Linked DNA regions of Bombyx mori. The protein of the gene in region 1 binds, or shares a complex with, the protein of each later gene. Links are inferred from orthologs where the notes say so. Each region holds a gene or a part of one and is shown in the gene's direction. Other genes may lie near its edges. The genes, in order: transportin-3 and cleavage and polyadenylation specificity factor subunit 6.

Region 1 (12,289 bases):
GATTACTTTGGATAAAAAGCAGGTAGAGTGGTGGTACAATCCTATGCAATGCTTTCAAAACTTATTATGAAAACTTAATAATTGGATATTAAAAAAAAAGTGCCAAGAGTTTACTGTTAGTTAGAATATTTTTATGTAGTAATATTAGTATTAGTATAAGTATAATAATAGTGTATATTGAAGATACCCAGATCAATATTACCCTAATCAATATTGTTACAGGAATTCCGTCAAAAAGTGATGAGTCTGATCAAGGATGTGGTGTTCATAGTGGGATCAAGTTCAGTTTTCAGACAAATGTTTGCTGCATTACAATCTAACATTTCATGGGAACAGACAGAAGCTGCTCTCTTTGTTATGCAATCTGTTGCTAGAAATATCTTACCGTAAGTTTTTAAATTTGCTCTTAAAAGTTAAAGCATGAAATTTCTATTTACATTTCATATTAGAAAACTGAAATATTGTGTTTAAGAAAAACTTATTTCAATATTTACCCCCCTTATCCATAAATTTGTAGTATCTCAAGGGAAGGCAACTTATGCCTTTATAGAAAAAAAAATCTCAGGATCTGTACTCTCTGAAGTCTACAATGGTGTTTTGTACCACTTCCTGAGAACAAAATTTTTTCCTTGCAGGAAATTGTCCGAATTGTGGAAAAGGGGGTAATCAATTGGGGCTAGGTCTGGCGAATATGGAGGATAACTTATAGTTTCTAACTGCAGGTTGTTGCTAAAACTGTTTTTCCGAGCTATGCGAGGTCTTACATTATTTGACGAGCAAGTAGGGGTTATTTCTGTGACAACTTTGTCACCTTTATTCAAAGGTCTTTACATATCCATCCTCTATACAGAAATGTTAATTCTTGAAGCACTCATGCACTTGATTATACCACATAGGAGAAAATCAGTCAGTGTTGTGGTTTAACAAATATTAAACCATGATTTTCGTTTCATGGCTGTGTATTAAAAATCATCTTACACTATTACTTTAAATTAATTATTAGCTAGTCGATTCATTGTCCTTAGTATCAGTCATTTCTACTATTTCATTCTGCAGATAAAAGTTTCCAACGCAATAGTGAACAAAACAAAACTGTGTAGTGCTCTTATTCTTTTTTTATTATTATTGCCCTATTGGCAGACGAGCACACAGCCCACCTGATGGCGAGTGGTTACCGTCGCTCATGGACGTCAGCAATGTCAGGGGCAGAGCCAAGTTGCTGCTTACGAGGGCGGCACTGAAAATTTCGGGAATTAACGAAGTGACACAACATTACTATTTAAAAATGTATTTATTGCTTTTCGAAGTATTCTCCGCGAAATTTGACACATTTTTCCATACGATGGAACCAATCATTGAAGCAACCATTCCATTCGGAAGTTGGGGTCTCCAAAATGGCCGTTTTGTAGGCGTCCACAGCTTCTTCAGGTGATGAAAATCTCTGTCCATGCAATTTATTCTTTATTTTAGGGAAAGTATACAAATCATTAGAGCTTAGGTCGGGGCTGTACGGCGGATGGTCTAATAATTCTATGTTTTCTTGCTCTAAAAACTCTTTTGTTCTGAGCGCGGTGTGAGAACTCGCATTGTCGTGATGGAGGATGATGCGGCGGTTGCAGTTCTCTTTACGGAGTTCAGAAACGACCTGTGGCAAACAAATGCTAGCATACCATTCTGGATTAACCGTTCTTTGTCCCTCAAGAGGAATAGTCGTAGCATAGCCGGTTTTGGAGACAAACGTGGCCACCATTTTTTTTGCAACACTCCGTGAACGAACAATTTTTGTTGGCTTTAACTTTTTTCGAACACCCAAACTCGTGACTGGTTTTTTGTTTCGGGTTCGTACGCGTATATCTAGGATTCGTCACCTGATACAATGTTGTATACAGCATTTGAGGATCCTGCGTGTAATCTTTCGAGAGTTCTGACGCACCAAGTAACGCGAGCCGCTTTTTGCTCTTCACAGAGCGAATGCGGTATCCATCGGGAAAACAACTTTTTTACACCTAATTGTTCATGCAAGATTATTTGTATTTGACTCATGCCAATGTCTAAAGTTGCCTGAATTTCGTGGTATGTCACATGTCGATCTTCCTCAATCAGCTTACGCACAGCATCAATGTTTTCTTGGGTGACTGCAGTTTTTGGACGACCTTGACGGGGATCATCACTGAGCTTGACACGTCCACGTTGAAACTCAGCAAACCAGCGATAAATTGTGGTTTTGGATGGGGCTTCATCACCAAATGCAGAAATCATCCGGTCAACACACTGTTTTTGTGTTAAACCACTTCGAAAGTCATAATAAATCATCGCTCTTGAATTTTCTCGAGTCAATTCCATTTTCTCAACGACTAAACAAGTTTGACAAAACCTCGTTTGACAAAACAAGACCGAGAAACTTTTTTTAAATAAATAAATGGTATTCGATTTTTAAAACCAAGGAGTTTTCAATTAAAAAGATTTTAATATGACAGGAACAGTGGAAATATTCCATTCCCGATACTTTTAGTGCAGCCTAGTACCGTTTAATAGTCTCTGCAAGCCTGGTTTGAAGAAGGAAATGTTGTAGCGCTCGGGAAACCCCGTGGAGGGGAGACCTCATTCTAAAGGCGGATGGTACGAGACAAAAATGATCTCTGGAAATGTGACTTCAGGCAGTATGTATGTACTCTACTCTGGTGGCGGGCGGTTCGATGATAAAAACGAGATGATGAAATCACCTCAAACAATTCCTCAGAGCACCCCGCAAGGAACATACGGTACAAAATAGAGAGGGAACCGAAGTCTCTCCGCAGAACCAGAGGTTCCAAACGATCCGTGAGAATGGGATTATTGACAATCCGAACGGCTCTCTACTGTATGGAGTCAAATGGGAGAAGCTGGTATTGGGAGCCGGCCCAGAGGTGGGAGCAGTACTCCACGCGAGGCTGGACTTGTGCTTTGTAAAGCAAAAGTCTTTGTCCAGGCGTGAAGTACCGCTTCGCTCTGTTGAAGAATCCCAGCATATTTGACGCCAACTTGGCTTTGCCTTCCAAATGACTTGAAAATTGGACATCGCTCGAAATGTCGACCCCAAGTATCCCAATGCCCTTGGAAGGTTGCAGGGATACTCATTGGAATTGCGTCGCCGTTCTACAACGACCGTGATGCTCCACCCATCCAAAAGCTAGCGACCCACTTGCAGAGTCGCGGGGATTCCGTACGATGGTAACTTCGACAGAAGTGCCCTATGCCAGACCCTGTCGAAGGCCTTCGCGATATCAAGGCTCACAGCGAGAGCCTCGCCCTTGCTTTCCAAGGCTTCAGCCCACCTGTGAGTAAAGTATACAAGAAGATCGCCAGCTGAGCGACCATGACGGAAATCGTACTGTCGGTCATTGATCCGCTGGCGATCCTCAAGATACTTCAGGAGTTGCGTATTTATTATTCGCTCCATCACCTTGGAAAGCAAGGAAGTTATCGTGATAGGCCTATAACTCGATGGGTCCGACCGGTCACCCTTCTTGGGCATATGATGAGGATTGATGCTATCAACGGATGTTATTGTTAGTGTAATAACTATGATGATGATGACTACCTATTTTATACCGCAAGATATCCACCCTCATACTATTTGTCGTCCGGGTAGAGCTCATGTATATAGCAGTGTTTTAATTATTTTAGTGCTGAGCTTAAATTCACATATTTCGCGAAAAGTGCTAAAGGTTTGTGAAAAAAAAATACCTTATTAATTAAGTGTGCACAGAATCTTTATTGTTCTCCTCAAATGTAGAGGAATTTTCGTAATTCTTTCTGCTATGTGTAAGGGACATGTTAAACTGCTCAAATGAAACAGTCATATAAGTGTATGTATTTTTTTTCTTTTTTATTGCCTAGATGTGTGGACGAGCTCACAGCCCACCTGGTGTTAAGTGGTTACTGGAACCCATAGACATCTACAACGTAAATGCGCCACACACCTTGAGATATAAGTTCTAAGGTCTCAGTATATTTACAACGGCTGCCCCACCCTTCAAACCGAAACGCATTATTGCTTCACGGCAGAAATAGGCGGGGCGGTGGTAGCTTCGTCCCTTTTAACCTCTAGACCAAAATTTTGTTTGGATCTGGTTGGTATCCCTGGGATGTTTTTACTGCTGTTTTGATGACCAGAGAAGTAAAAAACAACTCAAAATATCCAATAGACTTTTCAATATCAGCGAGTACATTTTTTAATCCGAGAATTTCGAAAAAGTAATAAGTACTATGTATGTAATAATTTTAAATGGTTAGTAATAAATATTATTTACTTAATAGAAACGTTATATGATCGATACCTATTATAAGACAGCGCAATAGTCGCTATTCTGACGCTTCACACTCTATACGCATTCATAGAGTCGGTCTGTCGACGGTTCGCGCTCTAAGGTTTAAACTTCAAATGATCAAAGAAGACCAAACGGTATCTAAATAAATATACATCCCGCTGAGTTTCTCGCCGGATCTTCTCAGTGGGTCGCGTTTCCGATCCGGTGGTAGATGCTGCAAAGCACTGCTCTTGCTAGGGTTAGTGTTAGCAACACTCCGGTTTGAGCCCCGTGAGCTCACCTACACACGTTAGGCTGAAGCTGTAATAGCCTGTCAAGGCTATCAGCATAGATAGGGAAAAAAACTGCTCAATGAAAAATACCTCTACACATTTTATTAAGAAAAACTCTGTGAAGGGTCTTATAAAAATAGATTTGTTGTTTCCCAGGGATGAATACGAATACGTGCCGAAGGTGGTGGAAGCGATACTGTCGATGCCCTCCAGCAGCCACCTGGGCGTGCGCGCCACGTGCATCCTGCTGCTGGGCGAGCTGGCGGACTGGGTGGAGCGGCACGCGGCGTCGTGCCTGGCGCCCTGCGTGGCCATGCTGCTGGCCGCCCTGCCGCAGCCCCGGCTGGCGCTGCCCGCCGCCACCGCGCTGCAGGTAACGTCACCTTACACCAAGGGTTCCCAAACTTATTTTGTCTACTGCCCACTTTGAGAATCAATTATTTTTTCACTTACTTAAAAACCACTAGCGAGAGCTCAGTCGGTGTCTAAGAGTCCTCCTAGATGAAGCTACAAATCGCTTCCCAAGTCTCTACACAACGCCCCCATTTTTTTCTGGGTTTCTTACCGCCCCCCCCCTTTAGGCCTGCAGCGCCCGCGAGTAGGCGTTATCGCCCACTTTGGGAAAGGCTGCCTTACACTGATAGCCTAACACTTAAAAGGACTGTTAGCGACAAGCTATGGAGAATTTTTACAGTATCGTCAATGAACAGGTTTTTTATGTTTTGGTGTCTAATATGTGTATATATCGTAAATATATGTAGGATTAGTAAGAAAGGAACGTATGAAAAGAGTGTGGAATGGAGCGTTAAGATGTGAGTGAGAGAAAACGGAAAGAAAGAGAGAAGAGAATTACAGACAGAATGATAGAGAAAAGTAAGATGGCGAAGACGGTTCAAAAATGAGCAAGGCGTAATAAAAGTGTTAATTAATTTTTAAATTATTATTATAACAGAAGATTTTATTTTGTTGAACAGTGGAAGTTTTATTTTATGCGCTGCGATCCCTATTCTACATATCGACGCTTGAAAGGCAAACGTGACTAAGCGACAATGCGTGAACTTTACAGTAGACTAATAATTTAAAGTTGAAATACCTGAAAAAAAATCTATTTTAACGAATCTAACGGTAGGATTGGAATTATTTTAATAGACCTAGAAATATAATTTTTTTTTTTTGCGCATCCAATATGGTTATTGCCTATCATTTATGTACAAAGCAGTTATTGTCGCATAGTCACGTTTGCCTTTCAAGCGTCGATATATATATACTGGGTGTTAGGAGACTGTTCCCGAAAACGAAAATGTTGTACCTACAAAGTTGTAAAATTTGGGGAGCGCGGTCTCAGCGCCGCGCCGGTGTGCATGTATAAGAAACGTCGCGCCCGGGCGTTCGTTGATCCGAGCGTCAGCTGTTCTTGACTTTGTGTTTCATTGCTGGTTTTTTTTTTAGTAAAGTAATGTATTTTTTATGAAACTATCATTGATTTTAGCTGTACTAACGTGATGGGGCGTAAATAATGCTAATAAAACGTTGTTGTTATTAATTATCAGCCTGGCGCAAGATCAAGGTAAAAACGTAGTGGTTATATACTCTGATAAATATGATCGTCTTACCTGTCAAAACTTAAGTCAGTCGCTCAATAAATGTCGTTGAAACACACGCAGTTTTTCTTTACGGATAGTACGCAAATCAAAGTGAACCCTATTTACATCATCAAACGTTTTAAAATCAGGATCGAATTTTTCTGTCCCATCATCAAAGGTGTCATTAGTACTGTTCTCTGTCTTCGTTTTCGGAAGCGGTCTCCTAACATCAAGTATAATTTAAGTTGAATAATAGGGTTCCCTCTTGTTTTCAAAATATGATTTCAAAAAATTGTAATTTCGAATTACATGTCCGTAGTAGCAGCATGTTCGCCTCAAATAATTTCTCACTGTTACGTACGGTACGAGTAACGCCATCTGTCAACAAATATCAGAAGCGGATATCAAAACAACTAATATCGTCGGGAGTGTCAGAGAAGTGATGTGGTGGCGCGGATAATCTGTTAGTAAAAAGCGAAAACGGATATAGAAAATTGTAGAGAGGACGTGGAGGCAGTCACTAAACAATTCTACTCGAAGCGAACCAGCGAACAGAACACCTGAAGCGAAGTGGAAAAGTGAATTGTGACATTGACGTTTAAGTGTTGTAGTAATTATATTAAGTTTTACTTAGTATTTCGGTGAGCGCGTCCCCACACCATCAGGACTCCCACATTACGTTCCAAGGTCATTTACATTGTGACGTCACGCAACAGAACATCTGCAAGGCGTGTCCCGGCGGAGCGGCCGAGCACATCGGCAAGCTGCTGGGCGCCGTGCAGGCGCTGGACCAGCTCGCCGCGCCGCCGCCCGCCGCCGCCGCGCTCATGCGGGCCGTCGCGCCCGTCGTGGCCAGCCTGCCGCCCGACCAGGTACCCGCACATACCTTACCGCACGGACTTATTGTACTCATTAATATGGTTATATCCTTAATATTGCTAATAACTCAGGTTGTCAATCAGAATACAAAGAATACAATAATTGTTTTCAGATGAGCGCAGCCCTCTGCGAAGCGTCAGCCCCCCAACTGGAGGGTCTCCGTCGGCTGTGCTCGGCTCGGCAGCCCATCAAGCGCGGCACCACGTCGGACCCCGTGCTGTACCTCGACCGGCTCGCCGCGCTGTACCGCGACCTCACGCTCTCCGCCGACCTCAAAAACGTCGCGGCGTCCGAAACGCACCCGTGTCTGCCGGCGCTCACCGAGGCGTGGCCCGTGCTCATCGACGTCATGGACAAGTGAGTAGGCGGCGCGTGGTGCGGGCGCGTGGTGCAGGCGCGTGGGGCCCGCACTGACCGCGTGCACCCTGCAGGTTCGGCGGCGAGGAGCGCGTGATGGAGCGCGTGTGCCGGGCGGCGCGGTTCGGCGTGCGGGCGGCGCGCGGGGCGGGCGCGGCGCTGCTGCCGGCGCTGTGCGGCGCGCTGGCGCAGCTGTACCCGCGGCACGCGCACTCGTGCGTGCTGTACCTGTGCTCCGTGCTGGTGGACGAGCTGGCGGCGCGGCCGGGCTGCGCGGCGGCGCTGGCGGGGCTGCTGGCCGACCTGCTGCCGCCAGCCTTCGCGCTGCTGCAGCGGGACCACGGCTTCAGGGACCACCCCGACACCGTCGACGATCTGTTCCGGCTCTTCATCAGGTCAGAGAGCGCCTCATTATTGTTACTTCAAGTATAATATCAAGTCCACAACACGCGAAATATCTAAATACTACGAATAATAAAACTATGGAACAGTAACTCGCCTTCAATTCCAATTTAGATTATGGTTCCATTTACGCACACAAATAAAAGCAAATACAACGAACACTCATACTCTTTCATAAACAAACGCTTGCACGCGATTGGTCGCGCCAACGTGACGGTTTGCAAGCGCACCCTTATGACGATGACATTATGCAGTAATAATGAATTTATGAAATATTTTCTCATTTTTTTATTAAATGACTTTATTACTGCAATAGAAATAAATGCAGTTTATAAGTCAGTACATGAGTTAAAAATATGATGATTAATCTTAAAATCAATACTACTACTACTACTAGTATACAAGGTGTAAGGCACACGAATACCACTTTCAAGTATGTACATGGCCTCTTTTTGAAAGTGTCCAATTTATTTAATTTCTTTCCAAGCGTACTATCACAAGCGGCTATTCATGTTTTACGTTGAATTTCATTTGTAGGAAATCTTTAAGAAATCTGCAGTAATCAAATCTTTTGTTATCGCTGCATAATGTCATACTCGTTACTTAAATAAAACTTATGTTTTATCCGAGCAGTATAAAGAACTACTACTGCATAGAAAAAGTAATCGTGCATATTGCATAACATTGTCCATCACCAATAGTATGAAATTTTACGATGTTTGTATACTTACTTATGAAAGCTAATTCAGCTGTTTTTCATATCTGTATGGCTTTTACACCATTTCACGACACACGATTGCATACTTACAAAATTAAAAAGCGCAAAATAATAATTATCTGGTCAACCGAAAACTGAGGCAACACGACCGCACGACACGAGTGCCACAGCGAACTGGCGCGCCGTTCTGTAGCTATTTTAAGCCCCGCCCTCCGCAGTAGCTATTTACGTGGAACCATTTTTGAAGTGTAATTACGTAATTATTAATAATTAATAATTACGTAATTATTAATTATTTATTAATTAAAATAATTAATAAATAATTCAAACGAGGCTTGTGGAGAGTATTAAGCGCTAGGCAGCGGCTTGGCTCTGCCCCTGGCATTGCTGAAGTCCATGGGCGACGGTAACCACTCACCATCAGGTGGGCCGTATGCTCGTCTGCCTACAAGGGCAATAAAAAAAAAAAAAAAAAAAAAAACTTTTTGTTGTAATGTTAAATACATTTTGTATGTTTTAATTAGAAAATGTTTTGGATAATAGAACACTTTGTCAAAACATATAACCAATATTTGGTATAATTTATCAAAGATTCTTTTGTAACCTTCCATTCCCCTGAGATCATATAAAAGTGTATCTTGTACTTGTATATTGGGGGAGCTCCCGGAAAATATTCTATTTTTAAAAGTATATTTTTCTGTGGCCCAGCCACTTTTATACTTTCCAGCTTATGTAGTAAGTTTAATTAGCCCGCAAAGGTATGTAATTTGGACAGCCTTGTTCTAGCAAACTATCAAATATCTGCATTAACAATGTTGCCGCTTTTTTAAACTCAGTTTCATATACACCTCGTGGCTAGTTTGGGGTTCGTAGCTAGGGTTGTTCCCCTGGTATATGTCAAAATCCAATAAAAGTCTACGTCCACTCAAGTTGTCTGCGTGGCCGTCCGCACTTCTGCCAAACCTTCACCGGAATATTCAGCAGGTTCTGCACTTCGATACAAATCGCTTCGACATTGCAGCTTTCATCATCATTATCCAAGAAACCTATCAAATCTTTATATTCATACCCCTAAAAATAAAGGAACACAAAAGTTTTTTAGAAAATTAATATTTTTATTATGAATATACTGAAGAATTTTTTTATAGTTACAGCTATAAAACACCCACTACATAAAAAAATACAAAGTTTTAATTTCATAGAGCACTTTAGTCTTTCGAGAGTGAAATAAAATGGAAATAATGGGTTACTTAAACCTTAAATGAATTTTTACTTGTTATTCAATTTAGTCGACCATTCTAAATCAACAAAATCACATGTGTTTGGTTCCATTGTTAATAAAAAACTAATTAAATATTCCAAGTCATATCATGCATAGCCACGTGTTAGTCGTGATCAATAATACGGCGCTAATGAATTAATATGAACTTTAATAAAGTTTAGTTAGTTCACTGGTTGAAATAGTTGTTTTGGGTCATTGAAGGACTAAATGTATAATAGCCTAGGAAATGTTGGTGAGTGAGCCCTCGCGGGCGCGGTCTGCGCGCAGGTTCCTGCAGCGCATGCCGGTGCAGCTGCTGTCGTGCGGCGTGATGGGCAGCATCCTGCAGTGCGCGTGCTCCGCCGCCGCGCTCGACCACCGCGACGCCAGCGCCTCGCTCATGAACTTCCTCGCGGACTTCGCGCGCCTCGCCAACACCGCGCACCCCGACACCGCCGAGGCGCAGCACGCCAAGGGTACCGCACTCTCCGCCGCCGCCGCGCTCCCCGCCCCCCGCCCGCCACACTACTGACCGTGCCGTCTGCTGCAGCGCTGGCCGAGGAGCTGGTGGTGACGTACGGCGGCGCGCTGACGGCGGCCGTGCTGGAGGCCAGCGTGCTGCACCTGCACCGCGGGCTCGTGCCCGGCGCCGCCGACGTGCTGCTGGAGCTGGCGCGCGCGGAGAGACGGCACGGCGCCGCGTGGCTGGGGGCCGCCGTGCGCCAGCTGCCCGCGCGCCACACCGCCGCCGCCACGCTGCTGCAGGCGCAGCACTTCCACAACACGGCGCGCAGGTCGGTCCCCCGCAGCGCGTTCGTGCCAAACTTCTTTAGAATCGTTGTGATTATAAACTCGATGTAACGAAATGAAACGAAACGAAACGAAAAAATAAGTGTGCCGCGATTGGCTTGACGAAGCGACTGCGAGCGGCGCCGACAAATCACGAAGCGCTCCACATAGTGACCTTTGCGATTATTTTTATTTCTTATAAATTTCAAAAGTTTCACTTCTACCGTGTGTGACTTCAGTGATTTGCACACATACACATTTTTTGTTTGTTTTCGTTCCATCGAACTATATATATCAGTATATATGTCAGTCAGATATTTATGTCAGTTTCTGATCACAAAGATGCTAAAGAAATCTTCACTTTCATAGAAATGTAGAAATCGTAAGCCGCGGAGTTCCCTCGAGTCTACTAGTATGTATGATTTTCACAACGCGTCGTTATTTGTTTCAGTACGGAAAAATCCAAGGAAATGACCAAACTGCTGCGCGACTTCGCGAAACTCTACCGATGAGACTCCCCCGGCCCGCCCCCGCGCATTGAGCTACAACGTGAGTCTGTAATCGTTCACCGATGTACATCTAGCCACTGCAGTAGTATTGTGTAATTGTATCGTTAGTCCCGAGGCCGCAGAGCAGCGCGTGTGCGCGTGTTGTCTGCGGCGCCGGGACATCTACTAATGTTGTGAGTGCGAGTGTTGCGTGACCACGTTCCGCTGGCCCTGTACAGTGAATAGTTCGCAACACAGTTAGTGAGCTCACGGCGCCTCCGCCACTGAGCACCGCGAGGGCTGCGAAGTCACAGGGAGAATGAAGGCAGCCCACTTCTACAATAGAAACATTAACAGAGCCCGAGATACGTGAGGGTGTGGCTCAGCACGACTGCCCGACGACTGATTAGTTCTGGAAACGGCTCTTATTTCAGTCTCCAAGTCTCTATGTCTTTTTGTATATCTTTTTTATCTATTTTGACTCATCGGTGACGGTTCGTAATAAATGTGTCTCACTTTTCAATATCCATTCGGCAGTCATATCTTGATTACGGTTCTTGTTTTCAAAAAATTATATTTATACAAATACATAACAGAATTTTTATTTATTTGCATTAATAATAAAATAAACGAGCATATCTCTTTCAAAAAATATAAATGTCTATTATTAAAATCATTGCAAAAAATAAATATTTAAATTACGTACATAATAAATCTTAGCAAAAAATTATATTCAGTTATGAAAGGCTAAATTTAAAACTAATTTTAATTTTTGTCCCCGTGTGTAAAGTATGTTCAGAAATGTAAGAAATTTGCAAATTTCTTTTTTATGCAATTAAATGTTAAGTATAATATAAACAGTATGAAACACACACAAATTGTTTTCGCTGGAAAACTGACAACTTTTTGAACAATAATCATAGAACAAACTTATTGTCCAGCCCGTATATGGAGTTGGCGAAATTTCAGAGACAAGCCAAAACAAGCATTTTGAATTTAAATTCTCATTAATTTTGAAGTTTGCTTAAGGTAATTAGTTCTTACAATCAATATTGAGATAGCAATAAAAATAATTGTGAATACATTTATTGTACATAATGTAGATGTTAAATTTATTACAACTGATATAAATGTAGTAATGATATTAAAATTTATCAATTTCTTGGTTTTTAATTTACACAAATTAGATAATTAATAGGATGTATTTATTCCTTGGAGGTTTCATGCTGA
Region 2 (12,289 bases), on another chromosome or scaffold:
TCTTTATTTTTTACTTCATGATGAAGAAATGACTTGTTTTTGTTTTTAAAGGCTTGTACAATTACGATCTGTTGAGGTGAAACTGAAATTTTCATAAAAATATCACGAGCTTTACATGTCAAATTAGATCACTATTTTCCACTTAAACTTTGAAATGTATGTGACATTCACTAGAATTTTATTTTCTTAATGAAGTTGAGAAATTCCGAAAGGACAATTGAATATCAGAGCTATTTACAATCACACATGGTGATACAGTTTGAGTTACGGATTTAGAGCATTTACCGATTAATTAATGGTAGGTGAATTTTGAAATCTAGCAATGCATTAATAAATGGTAAAGAAAAGGTTTGTAATGAAATTGGTTGTATTTAGTTAGTAACTCCTTCATGGTAATAGAAAATTAAAATTGTGTAGAATATAAACTGTTATACTTTGCTATACTTCCTCAAGCTCTGTCACCGAAACATGTAAATACCTCTCTTATGGCCATGTAGTCTCATCTGCACTATCACTTTGGAAAATTTGAGACAATCCTCAAATTCTACAAATGATATAAGGTAGTTTTTAATGGTTTAAACTTGACACCTGTCTACGTAAACTGCGCTTTCTGTAAATATAAGTACAAAAAGAAATTGAAAAAAAAAGATAATTATTTAAATTTTGTGCCACATCATTTCTAACTTGTTCAAATTTGCTGCGTATGTCCATTTAAATTTATCAACCTGTGTTTCTATTTTTTGTTTTTTTTTTGTCAAGCCGTTTATTTATGCTTCTTTTATATTTTGAAACTATGATTGAAAAATGCACTCTTGCTATTTTACCTGGTGTATTGTACATTACGATTTGCATTTAAATTTAATTTTACATTGATTTATGCTACCCTCCCAATGTTACAAAAGGTGAAACTAAACAACTAAAATATTTTGTAACATAACATTTAAGTTAAATATGATTTTAGTTGTTTTAGTAATGCAATTTATTGTAAATTATTTCATGTGGAAAGCATTACATAACCTTTCATAATACTGCTAAGTTATATTATATTCTTCCGTTTGTTTTGTACTTCTACTTTTGAGGCTATCTGTTGTCGAGATAGAGCCAAATCGATAGCAAAAATATACAGACAGTGAGTTTTACAATAAAATCATATATATCATCATATCATAAAGATACTAGCAGTAGAAAATGAATATCATCAAAATCGAGTTGGCGTAGTTTACGTAGATGGATTCTGTTTGTGTACTTAAACAACACAGATTGCAGTTATATTTTGCATACAAGTAGATGTGGGTTTGGTAAGATTATGTGAGAGATGAAGTATGAAAGGATGTATAATCTTATTTATAATAGTTGATGTACTAATTAATATAAATACCATTTTTGCCCATTAACTACACTACAGTAACTTGCTTAATTATGATGTAACATGTCTGCAGCAACAAGTTTTGAAACCGTTTGTGTGATTTTGTACGCACACAAAATTTTGATATATCGTTCCGAAAATGTTGTTGTGTTTATTTATTGAATATCCATAAATTTGCGGTTTAGTCAGAAAAACAGTTACCTGTATCAGATTATTGATAGGCTAAATTAGCAAAAAAAAAAATAAACATTACATAGTCATCACATAGTACATAATAGAATCAGTAGTGTAAAATTGGCTATTTGTCCCGCTTGTGTTTGATCAATAAATTGGGATATTGAGCTGAAAGTTTTCACTTTCTGACATCCCCATCTGTAATGATTTGTTTATTCTTTTATCAGGTTTGTTACGAGGTAAGGTAATTGATTGTATTGTATTTATAGTTTTTTAGTAATTATTTTAACATATGTTTTGCTATTTTTTTGCATACATCTGAAGATTTTCGATACTTATGTTGAAGAGATATCAACATTCTTGTGCGAAATGTAGAGGCGAACAATAAATGTTGTAATACGTAACAAATAAAATAAATAAATTATATAACTCAAACAAATCGCCTGGTCCAAACTGTTTCGTCTGCTCTGTGCAAATTAATCTAAACAATAATGTAGGTAGTTTACAAAAAAACCCCGCGACATCAACTGATTGTGTAAATTATAAATAATATTTAACACTTTTTGTATGTGTGTATTTTAGAGTATTTATTTTCTTTGTAAAGGATACTTTCAACAGCTGTCGTTTCAAGTTTTGTTAATTGCATTAAATCTATCTAGTATCAGTGCATGGATACGATAATTTTGTTATCTGATTTGCACACAAAAAAAATCAGTGTGTGTTTAGCCACATGTTAAATTTATTTCTTCATTTGACTTGTGAAATACCATTTACAAGTAATGTGTTCATGTTATAATTACCTTGTTAATGGTTGTTTTCCTTCTAGTTTTTTTTCAGTATGTAACCGTTGGAGTATTCGGAGTTGTAAAAAAACTTTATAATGCAAATTATCTGTGATAAAGAAATAAATAGTATGATCACAAAAAAGCTCTTTCTTTTCACCCAAAGCTCTATTCCGGCATATTTAATGATTTAGTTGATGAAAAGTACATTGTAGATTTTTAATTCGCGTCAAAAGGTACACAAAAGTATTCAAAATATTTTTATTCACGTTAATCATCGGATCTACTATGAGACGTAAGCGCGGTGTTGTAAATTCACTTTCTCGATAATTCGGTGTTAATGAAAAAAATCTTAATACGGCGTGTGAACGGCGCTTTAAATTGAACCTTACCCCGACCGATTTTGTTTAAGTGGCATGTAAGTGGACTGGATGGCATAATAAATGATGTATGTGACTTGTGTGTATTGGCTGCCTGTTTGCAGCGTGGCTGAGTTTTGTGTAAAACCTTTTCCAGTGGGCAACGGACCAAGATATTGCGAACGCGATCTCGGATGTCGGTGTCTCCGATTTTCAAGATGTGAAGTTCTTTGAGAACAGAGCCAATGGTCAGTCCAAAGGATTCTGCGTTATATCTCTCGGTTCAGATCAATCAGTCAGGATGGTGATGGAACGTCTTTCTAAGAAGGAGATACACGGGCAACATCCAGTAGTTACATTGCCTACTAAACAGGTAAGGTCAATGTTAACTGATACAAAATATGAGCATAATAAGTAGACACTAGATAGATAGTTTATGATTAGGTACTTATGAATTGCACAAATAGTTTCATGATGAATATACCTAGTAACCTTTCCTAGTAATAGATTAGTTTCTGCAAATATGGTTTCGGGCAATGCGTGAGTCGCGATGAGGTGTTGAAACGTGGTTTAAATTAAAACAAAAAAGGAATTTACATTTTTTTTAATAATGGATCTAAAGTGGTTAATAAACCTTTTGCAACATTAAAGCTTTCAATAATGTCCGAATCGTTTTCACGGAGGCTACTCATTGAAAAAATCCGAAAAGAAAATTTTGAATCTTAAACCACCGCGACTTTGTAATGGTTATGGAGATTGGCTTCTGTTAATTGATTTGCAAACCATTTGGTAAAATTGAGGAGTAAATAGCTTCGGCCATATGATAGCTATTGACTTCCACATGGTTTTGAGATGGTGGACAGTAGTATCTAAGTTAGTATTTGTAATTTTTTTGTCCATCGGTAATTAATATAGTCTACCGATATTAATCAAAATAATATAATAGTTTTAGCAGCGTAGGAAATATATAGATGAATTAATTCGGTTCAGTGAAAGTAAGTAAACTTTGATAATGTCTACAGGCGTTGAATCAGTTTGAAAGTCAGTCAAAGACCAGGTCGACGCCTCCTGGTCCCAATAATCCTGGAATGAGAGGACCCCATCCAGGCGGGCCGCCTGGTCCTCATCCCGGAGGTACATATTGTAATCGTATACTAATACGTCTCGATAAAATATTCGAAACATCAAAAGTAGAAACATATCATTATTATTCTAAAGTCGTCGTGGCCTAAAGGATAAGATGTCCGGTGCATTCGGAGCATTACTCTAGCGATACACCGGTGTTCGAATCCCGCAGGTGGGTACCAATTTTCCTAATGAAATATGTACTTAACAAATGTTCACGATAGACTTCCACGGGGAAGGAATAACATAGTGTAATGAAAATCAAACTCGCAAAATTATAATTTGCGTAATTACTGGTGGTAGGTAGGATCTCTTGTGAGTCCGCACGGGTAGGTACCACCACCTCGCCTATTTCTGCCGTGAAGCAGTAATGCGTTTCGGCTTGAAGGGTGGAGCAGCTTTATAACTATACCTTAGACCTTAGAACTTATATCTCAAGGTGGGTGGCGCATTTACGCTGTAAATGTCGATGGGCTCCAGTAACCACTTAATACCAGGTGGGTTGTGAGCTCGTCCACCCATCTAAGCAATTTTTTTTTTTTATTGACTAATGGGTAGTATATGGTAACTAAAGGGGTGATACCCCTGATCACAGCGCTTATAACGACGCCCAAATATGGTGCACTTGAAAACATAAAATCGTAAGAACCCGTTACTATATTCGCAGAATTTTTTGGTGGGGGACCGAACGGTCCAGGTGGGGGCGGACCTCGTATGATGCTCCCAGGTCCGGGTCCGCACCAGCTTCGTGGGCCGCCGCCGCACCACATGGGCCCACACCAGGGCGGGCCGCATCCCATGCAACATCAGCCGCAGCCGCACCAGGCCCCGCCACACCGGCCCCCTATGCAGTTTGCGGGCCCTCCGCAGATGCAACGCGCGCCGGGCCCGCGTCCGCCGCCTCCCGACTGGGCTGCGCGAGCGCCGCATCCTATGTCTCAGCCCGCGCCTCATTATGGACCCCCCCATCATGGAATGCCGCATCAGATGCCACCACCTCATCCTGTATGTATATACTGCACACGTGATTACTATTAGGCATCCACATCATCCAAATTTATTATTTTGTATAGAATAAATGCAATAAATTTAGATGCCGTCAGATAGCCGACGAAATTCATGTAAGGAGGTCTTTAAACATACTTTTTCGAATACTAACTGAGCATTGGTAATAATATGACGGCGTCGTCTCCTTAGGCCTTCTTAATGAACTCTTGATTGATACGAATTTCATCCTCATGTGTACAGCTCATCTGCTCTCGTATTACGTGATCGTAAAGAATTATTTTACGGCTCATATTGGGGGAACTCGCCCCTTGAATATTCGCTTTGCAAAAATTTCAGATTCTGGAACAGGGGGCTCGCAAATTGCTGATGTAACATACAAGCCTATGATTATAATTATTCTTTATAGTAATAATGAAACGTTATAATTAAAATAATGAATGTTCAGCAACCCGGCGCACAGGGCATGCCGCCTCCGCACCAGTTGCCGCCGCACCAGCCGCCGCGGGGACCGGCGCCCATGCCGCAGCATCCTGGTCAGTCATATATTAGCACAGAAACTGACTTTTAGACTGAGGGTAGGACCTCTTACGAGTTCGCACAGCTAGTTACTACTACCCTGCCTATCTCTGCAGTGAAGCAGAACTTGTATCTCAAGGTGGGTGGCTACATTTACTTTGTAGATGTCTATGGGCTCCGGTAACCACTTAACATAAGATGGGCTGTGAGCTCGTCTACCCATCTATGCAATAAAAAAATATATATACAGAAACGAATGCATTCATGTTCGTTTTTCATACGTACCATGAGTTCACAATCTGAATATCGTGGTTCACGGTAATATTTGAGATACAAATCTCGATAACGTTAAAATAATAGTCTCGCTCTTTAAACTGGGCGCGTCATTTGAGAAAAGTCGTCATTTATAATAATTATTGTTTCGTTTTTATTAAATTACAAATTTTAATTAAGTAATCAATTTTCATTAATGTTAAACAGTAATACCTGGAGCTCCAGCACCACACGTGAATCCTGCGTTCTTCAACCAGCAGCCACCGTCGCAGCCGCCGCCAATGCAGGCCCCGCAACCTGGACCACCCGGTAAGTTATAGCTTTTACATAAATAAATGATGGTATCTAAAAATCAAAATTTCCAGTATAACGCTCAAACCATCGTCTCATGTTTTGACATCACTATCATCGGTGATGACTCTCTTAATCAATTGCATATAAGAATACGAATCGAATATATTACGTAAATTTGGATGAAAACGTTAAGATCTTTACAGAGGTTAAATTCGACAGATACATCTTTGTGATCAGCGAACAAAAACAAGTTGCCTTATCAAGTAATATGATAATTGCCCAAATACTTACCTACCCTTAAATTCAAGATAGTTGCGATCAAGTAGTTAAAAGGATTAATCTTTTGTGTGAACAGGTCCAGGTGCTCCGTACGGTCATCCAGCCCATGGAGCACCACCTCCAGCACAAGGGCCTCCACCCGGGTCTAGACAACCGTACGGTCGGCCACCACAGGTAATTGACTTCATTATTTATGAATTGAACTCTATATTCTGCAATCTATGAAACAAAATAAGGTCGTTATTTTCTATAGTGCTACAGAGTAGCATAAACATTAAAATAATGTTGTCGGGCCTCTTAGTATCACGTAATAATGTTACAGAGCTATCCGCCTCAAGCGGATCCGGCTCGTCCCCCGCACCACCCGGCACCCATGGTCCCACAGCACGCGGCCTCCCTGGCGCCCCCCATGCCGGTCATCAGCGAGGCCGAGTTCGAAGAGGTGATGAGCAGGAACCGCACCGTCTCCTCCAGTGCCATTGCTCGGGCTGTCAGTGACGCTGCCGCTGGCGAGTACGCCTCCGCCATCGAGACGCTCGTTACCGCCATATCACTCATTAAACAGAGCAAGGTATTCATCGTTGTATTTTTATTAGCACTAGTGGTCCCTGCAGTAGTCGAAATTCGACTATGATTAATTTAAATTAGAAGTTTGAACATTCTTATTGGTTCTACCACCATAGATTATACACTTATTATTTGAGAGAGTGAAACTGTAGACAAATAATATTAAAGACAAACAATACTAATCTATTCTCAATTTGACTATGGACTTTAAAGAATAACAAAAGTTTCACAATTGACAATTTACAAAGAGTATATTTATACGTATGTGTTGTGTCAAATACACGGTAGTGTGTGTAATGTTTTCTTTGTTGATTTAATGCATTTTTTTTTAAATATTAGCACTCTGCACTTCTTCTCTATATTCTCTATAAGTGTGGGAAAGTTCATACTCCTACGTCCGGGCAATTTTCGTTAAAAGGGATACAATGTTTTTGCTTCACGTATTAAATATGTAGATTATGCATAAAGGAAAATGAAATGAACGAATGTAAATTGAATATTTCAGGTGGCGCAAGACGACCGCTGCAAGATTCTGATCTCGTCGCTGCAAGACACGCTGCACGGCGTCGAGACGAAGTCTTACAGCAGCGGCGAGCGGTCCCGCCGCTCCCGGTCCCGCGAGCGCGAGCCGCGACACCACCGCGCCCCGCGCCGCCGCGACCGCTCTTCCAGCCGCTACCGGGACCGCAGCCGCGACCGAGAGGATAGGGACAGGTACGCGCCGTTAATTATTTGGAACGTTTCTTGTATTATAATAACGGCAATTTTTTAAATGGATTTTATGACCTGGTAACTAAGACCTTTAAGTCATATCTTATTATAATTTATATTCTTATTTTTATGAAAAATGATAATATGGAGTGAAATTAAATGAATATTATTAATTAGAGACATTAATCAGCTGGGATGAAATTAAATGAAATAAGATGATATGGGATGAAATATAATCTCAGTAAAATGGTGGTCATTTTCTGAGATTTTTTCAGTGGACTTTTTGGAGGATCCCGAGAAGTTACGTCAAGCGCCTTTGTTTCATTTTCTCACATTTGTGCACTTTCACAGACATTAAACAGTTAATAAACCACCGTTATTACACATTTAAACCTGACGAAACACTAAACAGACAAAATAAAACAAAAACACAACTTCATTAACAAAAAGTCCCAATAATGGCAGTGTTCCTCTTCAAACCGGAACGTGCCAGATATTGACGGGATACTGATACTCTGCCAAAGACGGTCACCATACTCTCTATCTCCCAATAATGATAACCACAACTGTAAGCTTAAATTAATTGGACGTCATGATTTTTCCTTACCACAAACTAACTAACATAAACATTTAAAATTTTTAATGGAAAATAAAATAATAATTTACAAACGCATGTGCGTAAGTTCGTAAATTTATATAAAGTAGTACTTTTATCGAGAATTAAAATGATTTTTGAACGAATTCCGTGTTTTAAAAAAATGCTTTACAATGAGGTCAAAACCGGGGAACCCGTAAAGTTGAATGCAAGCAATTTATTGCAGGTACAGGGAACGGTCGAGAGATCGCGACCGCGAACGTGAACGTGACGCGTAAGTGCCTTGATTTAAATTGAAAATAACACCAACCTGAAATGGTAAACGTAATGAGTGGTCAGTTTTATATTTATTTGAGTGTGCTATGTACTAATATTGAATATATGTATATCTCATTATTGACGTTTCGATAACTAATCTTTACCGAATTCAATTGATTAATCATCACTAGTTTCTTTTAAAGCTCACGTTTCCATTACGTTTACTGTAATTTAGAACAAGGCAGTTATGTCATCACTACACATCTAACTCGATTACTTATGTGTAAACAGATGGTAAGTGAAAATCAATGTTGTTTTATTTCAGGTATTACAGGGATTACCGTGAGAGGGAGCGCGAGAGGTCTCGCTCGAGGGATCGCGATCGTGCTGATCATTACAACAGGGGACACAGTCGTGAGGAGAGGTGTGATTTTATCTTTGTAAAAATTCACCATCTGTATTTGGGTCTAATAATACAATTTGCATTGTATATGTAGGGAGACAGAAATCTGTTTCTTTCTGTGTTTCTGTTTTAAGGCTTATATTTTGAAGCTCCGTCTCGAAAAAAACCAAAATAATATACACCATTCTTAGTTTTTAGTTTTCTTTTGCCTGTTTTATGTTGATAAGTTGCAAGATTTTCTTTTATTTACGAGCAGCAGACACTGATCAACGACGTAACAAATTGCGTAATTCTCGATTAGTTCAGTTTTTACACTTAGAACAGAGCTCTTAACTATCAAAAATTGATTGAATCTATTTAATTTTTTAATTTAATTAGAAGTTAGAGATCAATAATCAATATCTCAAAGCTTGACTGACCCGTTTGGTAATATCAGATTACTGCAAAGAGAGAGAATTTTTTTCTGTAAAAATTCAAATTGTCTTTAAGTTTGTCCGTCTAACAGTGTTTTTTTGCTGGGAACAGGGCACGTAAATCTCCAGCTGAAGCGACAGCAGAGGGAACCACAGCCGAGGCCGGGTCGAAGAGCCGCAGCACTGGAGCGCCGTACTACGACGAGCGGTACAGGGAGAGACGCGACAGAGACCCGCCGCCCGCGGATCGAGATCGCGACCGAGACCATCGCAGGGACGCTAGACACTAGACACTAAAAGAACCATTGAGTGAACTACTCAATATCGCCACATCAGCTGACCAATTAGGGCATCCAAGATTTTTTGCTATCGGGCCGGCGTCACGTTGAAGTGGAATTAAATTGACACTTGACAGTTCTGACAGATGTTTGCGCGGAAAAGGGATTTACAAAAATGGCGCGAAAGTTTCTGATTCTAAATTCAAACAAACGATTGATTTAATTTAAAATAATTCGTTTGAGCAACGTTCATGCGAATCAAAATTCATTGACTGCGCGGTTATATGTGGTGACACCGACATCGTTCCGTCAGCCTAGTCTAATCAAGTGACTTTTGGTGTAAACTAATATTGTGTGGTGCGTCAGAGGCGACGACCGCGTGCGTGAACTACTGATACTGCCACGAAAATAGCTTCAAATTGTTGATCAAAAGATGGTGGATCGAGTTGATCTGCTGCTAGGGCGGTTTAGTGTAATCGAGAGCCTGATTCGACAGATTAGATATTCATTATTTTCAACTTCATATGAAACAAACATCTCAAATTAAAATCGGTCTCATACATGAAACATTAAATAGTGATGGTAAAAATGATATCCATTCACACTGATGATGAAAATAATGTTATGTTAATTTAGATGACAAAATAGTTTATTACAAATTAGTAAGTATTATCCCGGAATGCCCATTTGTCTCAGATATATCGTTTGTTTTACGAAAATTGGTTACACTCTTGGTACAAATCACTGTACTTATTACAGTCAAGTGTGACTGTAGAAAATTAACGTAAGACCTATCCAACGCCGACAAGTCGTTTTCAAACATCTAATAATGTATTGTATTCATTCACGCATGGTATATTTATAAGGTTAAAAAAGGATGATAAACTTTATATTTAAAACAGAGAAACATTTTATCAGAACACGACCAATAGCAAATTATCCAAAATTAGAAAAGTGCGCTAGTAATGAAAATTTTATTGAAAAAGGTCAAAAATATCCTAGTATTATCTTGAATACTTTTGATACAATTGATAAAGATTAAAATATAAATAGTTTTTATTTCAAATAAACATTTTACACAATTATATCGATAAAAGCAGTTTTCAATCTAAAGCCATGAAACATCTGAAAATTAAGATTGTGACTGATTTTATAATTTTTAGTATCAATATTACTCATGTTGATTGTTAATGGATTGAATTAGTCCAACAAGAACCTTAAAACCAAATATGTTTAAAATTCAATTTTGCTGTTTGTCACAACATTCCATGGTCTAAATGTTTGCGAATTGTTTTAAACTTTCATTCGTGGTTTTTTTTTGTATTTTCCTATTTTGTAGTAGTCTAAACGTAAGTATTAGGTTAAGTTCAAACAATTTATGGATTGTTCCATACAAACTAGACGTGACCGTAAATTAAGATGTAATTTACAATAAAATAAATTTATTTCAAAACATTTTCATTATTTATTAAATTAATATATAAGTTACCAAACTGTGAGTGGGTACCTACTGGCTGCTGTTTCGATTGTAGAAAGTCGATGTCGATTTATTGTAGAAAGAAAAATTTTGGGCCGTTGAAAGGACGGCAAGTGTAAAATTTTTGGCCATCGGCACGTTTAGAACTGGTCAAATTTCCAACCAACGAATTAATTAGGTAATGCATATCCTACAGGTGAATTTCTACTGTCATTATCATCCTCTTAGGTCTTGTGTATGTCAGAACCAGACGGTGTCCTACACGGCTTTGGCACGTCGATTAATATTGGCAAGATTCATAAACTTTGATATGAGAAGTAAGTTTGTAGGAATCTAGTATAACTAAATCCACAGAGTCGCTTCGGTCGCGTTTGAGAAATTTAACACAGTCGTAGAGGGATCATACGGGCTAAATCCAAGTTATAAAGTGAGAAGTGCTATTACTATTCGGGAGTTGAATATCTACATTTTATTAAATAAGTAATCCTTTAGTATCTAGTGGGTTTCAATTAGTTACGTTACCGGAATGTGAAGAGTACATTTTTATTAAAAAGTTTCGAAGATTCATTGATTTTTTTTAATATAGTAATAATTAAATGGTCAGGGATCTAATCGAAATACTGTCCATCTGTCACGCATGTAGATGCAATACATGAATATAGACTGATGTTTCTATTAGAGATTCTGGTGTCATCTACCTTTTACTTACGCGGATAGGACACCGTTGATAACACTTCTACTTAGCAAAGAAATGTTTAATACATATTGTTTAAAATAAGACATTAATTACCTAGTCTATACGTGTAATGATTGTTATCCTGTACCAATTTTCAGCCTATTGAGTTTCTCGCCAGATCTCAGTGGGTTGCGTTTCCGATCCGGTGGTAGATTCTGCGAAGCACTGCTCTTGCTAGGGTTCGTGTTAGCAACCTCATCAGAGTTGAGCCCCGTGAGCTCACCTACTAGTTAAGGCGACGCTGATATAGCCTATCAGCTTAGGCAGGAAAAAAAAAAACAGTTTTCCGTTAATATTATATTATACAATCAAAATATTTTTTCATATTAAGTAATATCGTTTTATAAAAACAGATGTGGAATGAAAAGCGAGGTTTTCTTTTCAGAACTTAATGTTCTGGTTTCTGTTCAGTTGTCCGTGATAGAACAGAAATACGCTGAGTCGATATTATTGCAATATTTTTTTAGACTTTTAACGAAGGTGATGCTGAAAGTTTTTAGAATTTCATAAAACTTTAGAAAGCGGCATCTGTTTATTCATTTATTTTTTCACAATAATTCCATACAGAATTTAAGCATCTCGCACTCGACCTTGGAGAGAGGAAGAAAGCGAGCTAGGTTGTTTCTCTTATGCACATTCTGTTTACGGGCGTCGGCCACTAGTTATTATTATTAT

What was found.
Region 2: the proteins of transportin-3 (region 1) and cleavage and polyadenylation specificity factor subunit 6 are in contact, whole or in part, in a crystal structure (PDB 6GX9), measured with the Homo sapiens proteins. The link is inferred for Bombyx mori from reciprocal best matches to the Homo sapiens genes TNPO3 and CPSF6. Residues at the interface, in NP_036602.1 of Homo sapiens: Arg620, Asn656, Arg657, Glu660, Arg661, Arg664, Arg667, Phe668, Arg671, Ser698, Cys699, Tyr702, Ile706, Asp709, Asp747, Asp750, Asp751, Arg754, Arg758, Gln761, Cys793, Arg797; in NP_008938.2 of Homo sapiens: Tyr521, Arg522, Glu523, Arg524, Ser525, Glu527, Arg528.

The regions. Positions count from the first base shown.
Region 1 is NC_085118.1:955,598-967,886, reverse strand, and holds part of transportin-3, read left to right. Parts: intron 1-222; coding exon 223-386; intron 387-4,738; coding exon 4,739-4,955; intron 4,956-6,881; coding exon 6,882-7,037; intron 7,038-7,156; coding exon 7,157-7,401; intron 7,402-7,475; coding exon 7,476-7,796; intron 7,797-10,070; coding exon 10,071-10,258; intron 10,259-10,332; coding exon 10,333-10,576; intron 10,577-11,022; coding exon 11,023-11,083; 3' UTR 11,084-12,289. UniProt on the Homo sapiens protein: Importin, which transports target proteins into the nucleus. Specifically mediates the nuclear import of splicing factor serine/arginine (SR) proteins, such as RBM4, SFRS1 and SFRS2, by recognizing phosphorylated SR domains.
Region 2 is NC_085120.1:8,916,808-8,929,096, reverse strand, and holds the end of cleavage and polyadenylation specificity factor subunit 6, read left to right. Parts: intron 1-2,838; coding exon 2,839-3,054; intron 3,055-3,703; coding exon 3,704-3,815; intron 3,816-4,473; coding exon 4,474-4,811; intron 4,812-5,259; coding exon 5,260-5,347; intron 5,348-5,810; coding exon 5,811-5,912; intron 5,913-6,252; coding exon 6,253-6,350; intron 6,351-6,498; coding exon 6,499-6,747; intron 6,748-7,248; coding exon 7,249-7,457; intron 7,458-8,275; coding exon 8,276-8,323; intron 8,324-8,632; coding exon 8,633-8,731; intron 8,732-9,235; coding exon 9,236-9,413; 3' UTR 9,414-10,856; downstream 10,857-12,289. UniProt on the Homo sapiens protein: Component of the cleavage factor Im (CFIm) complex that functions as an activator of the pre-mRNA 3'-end cleavage and polyadenylation processing required for the maturation of pre-mRNA into functional mRNAs.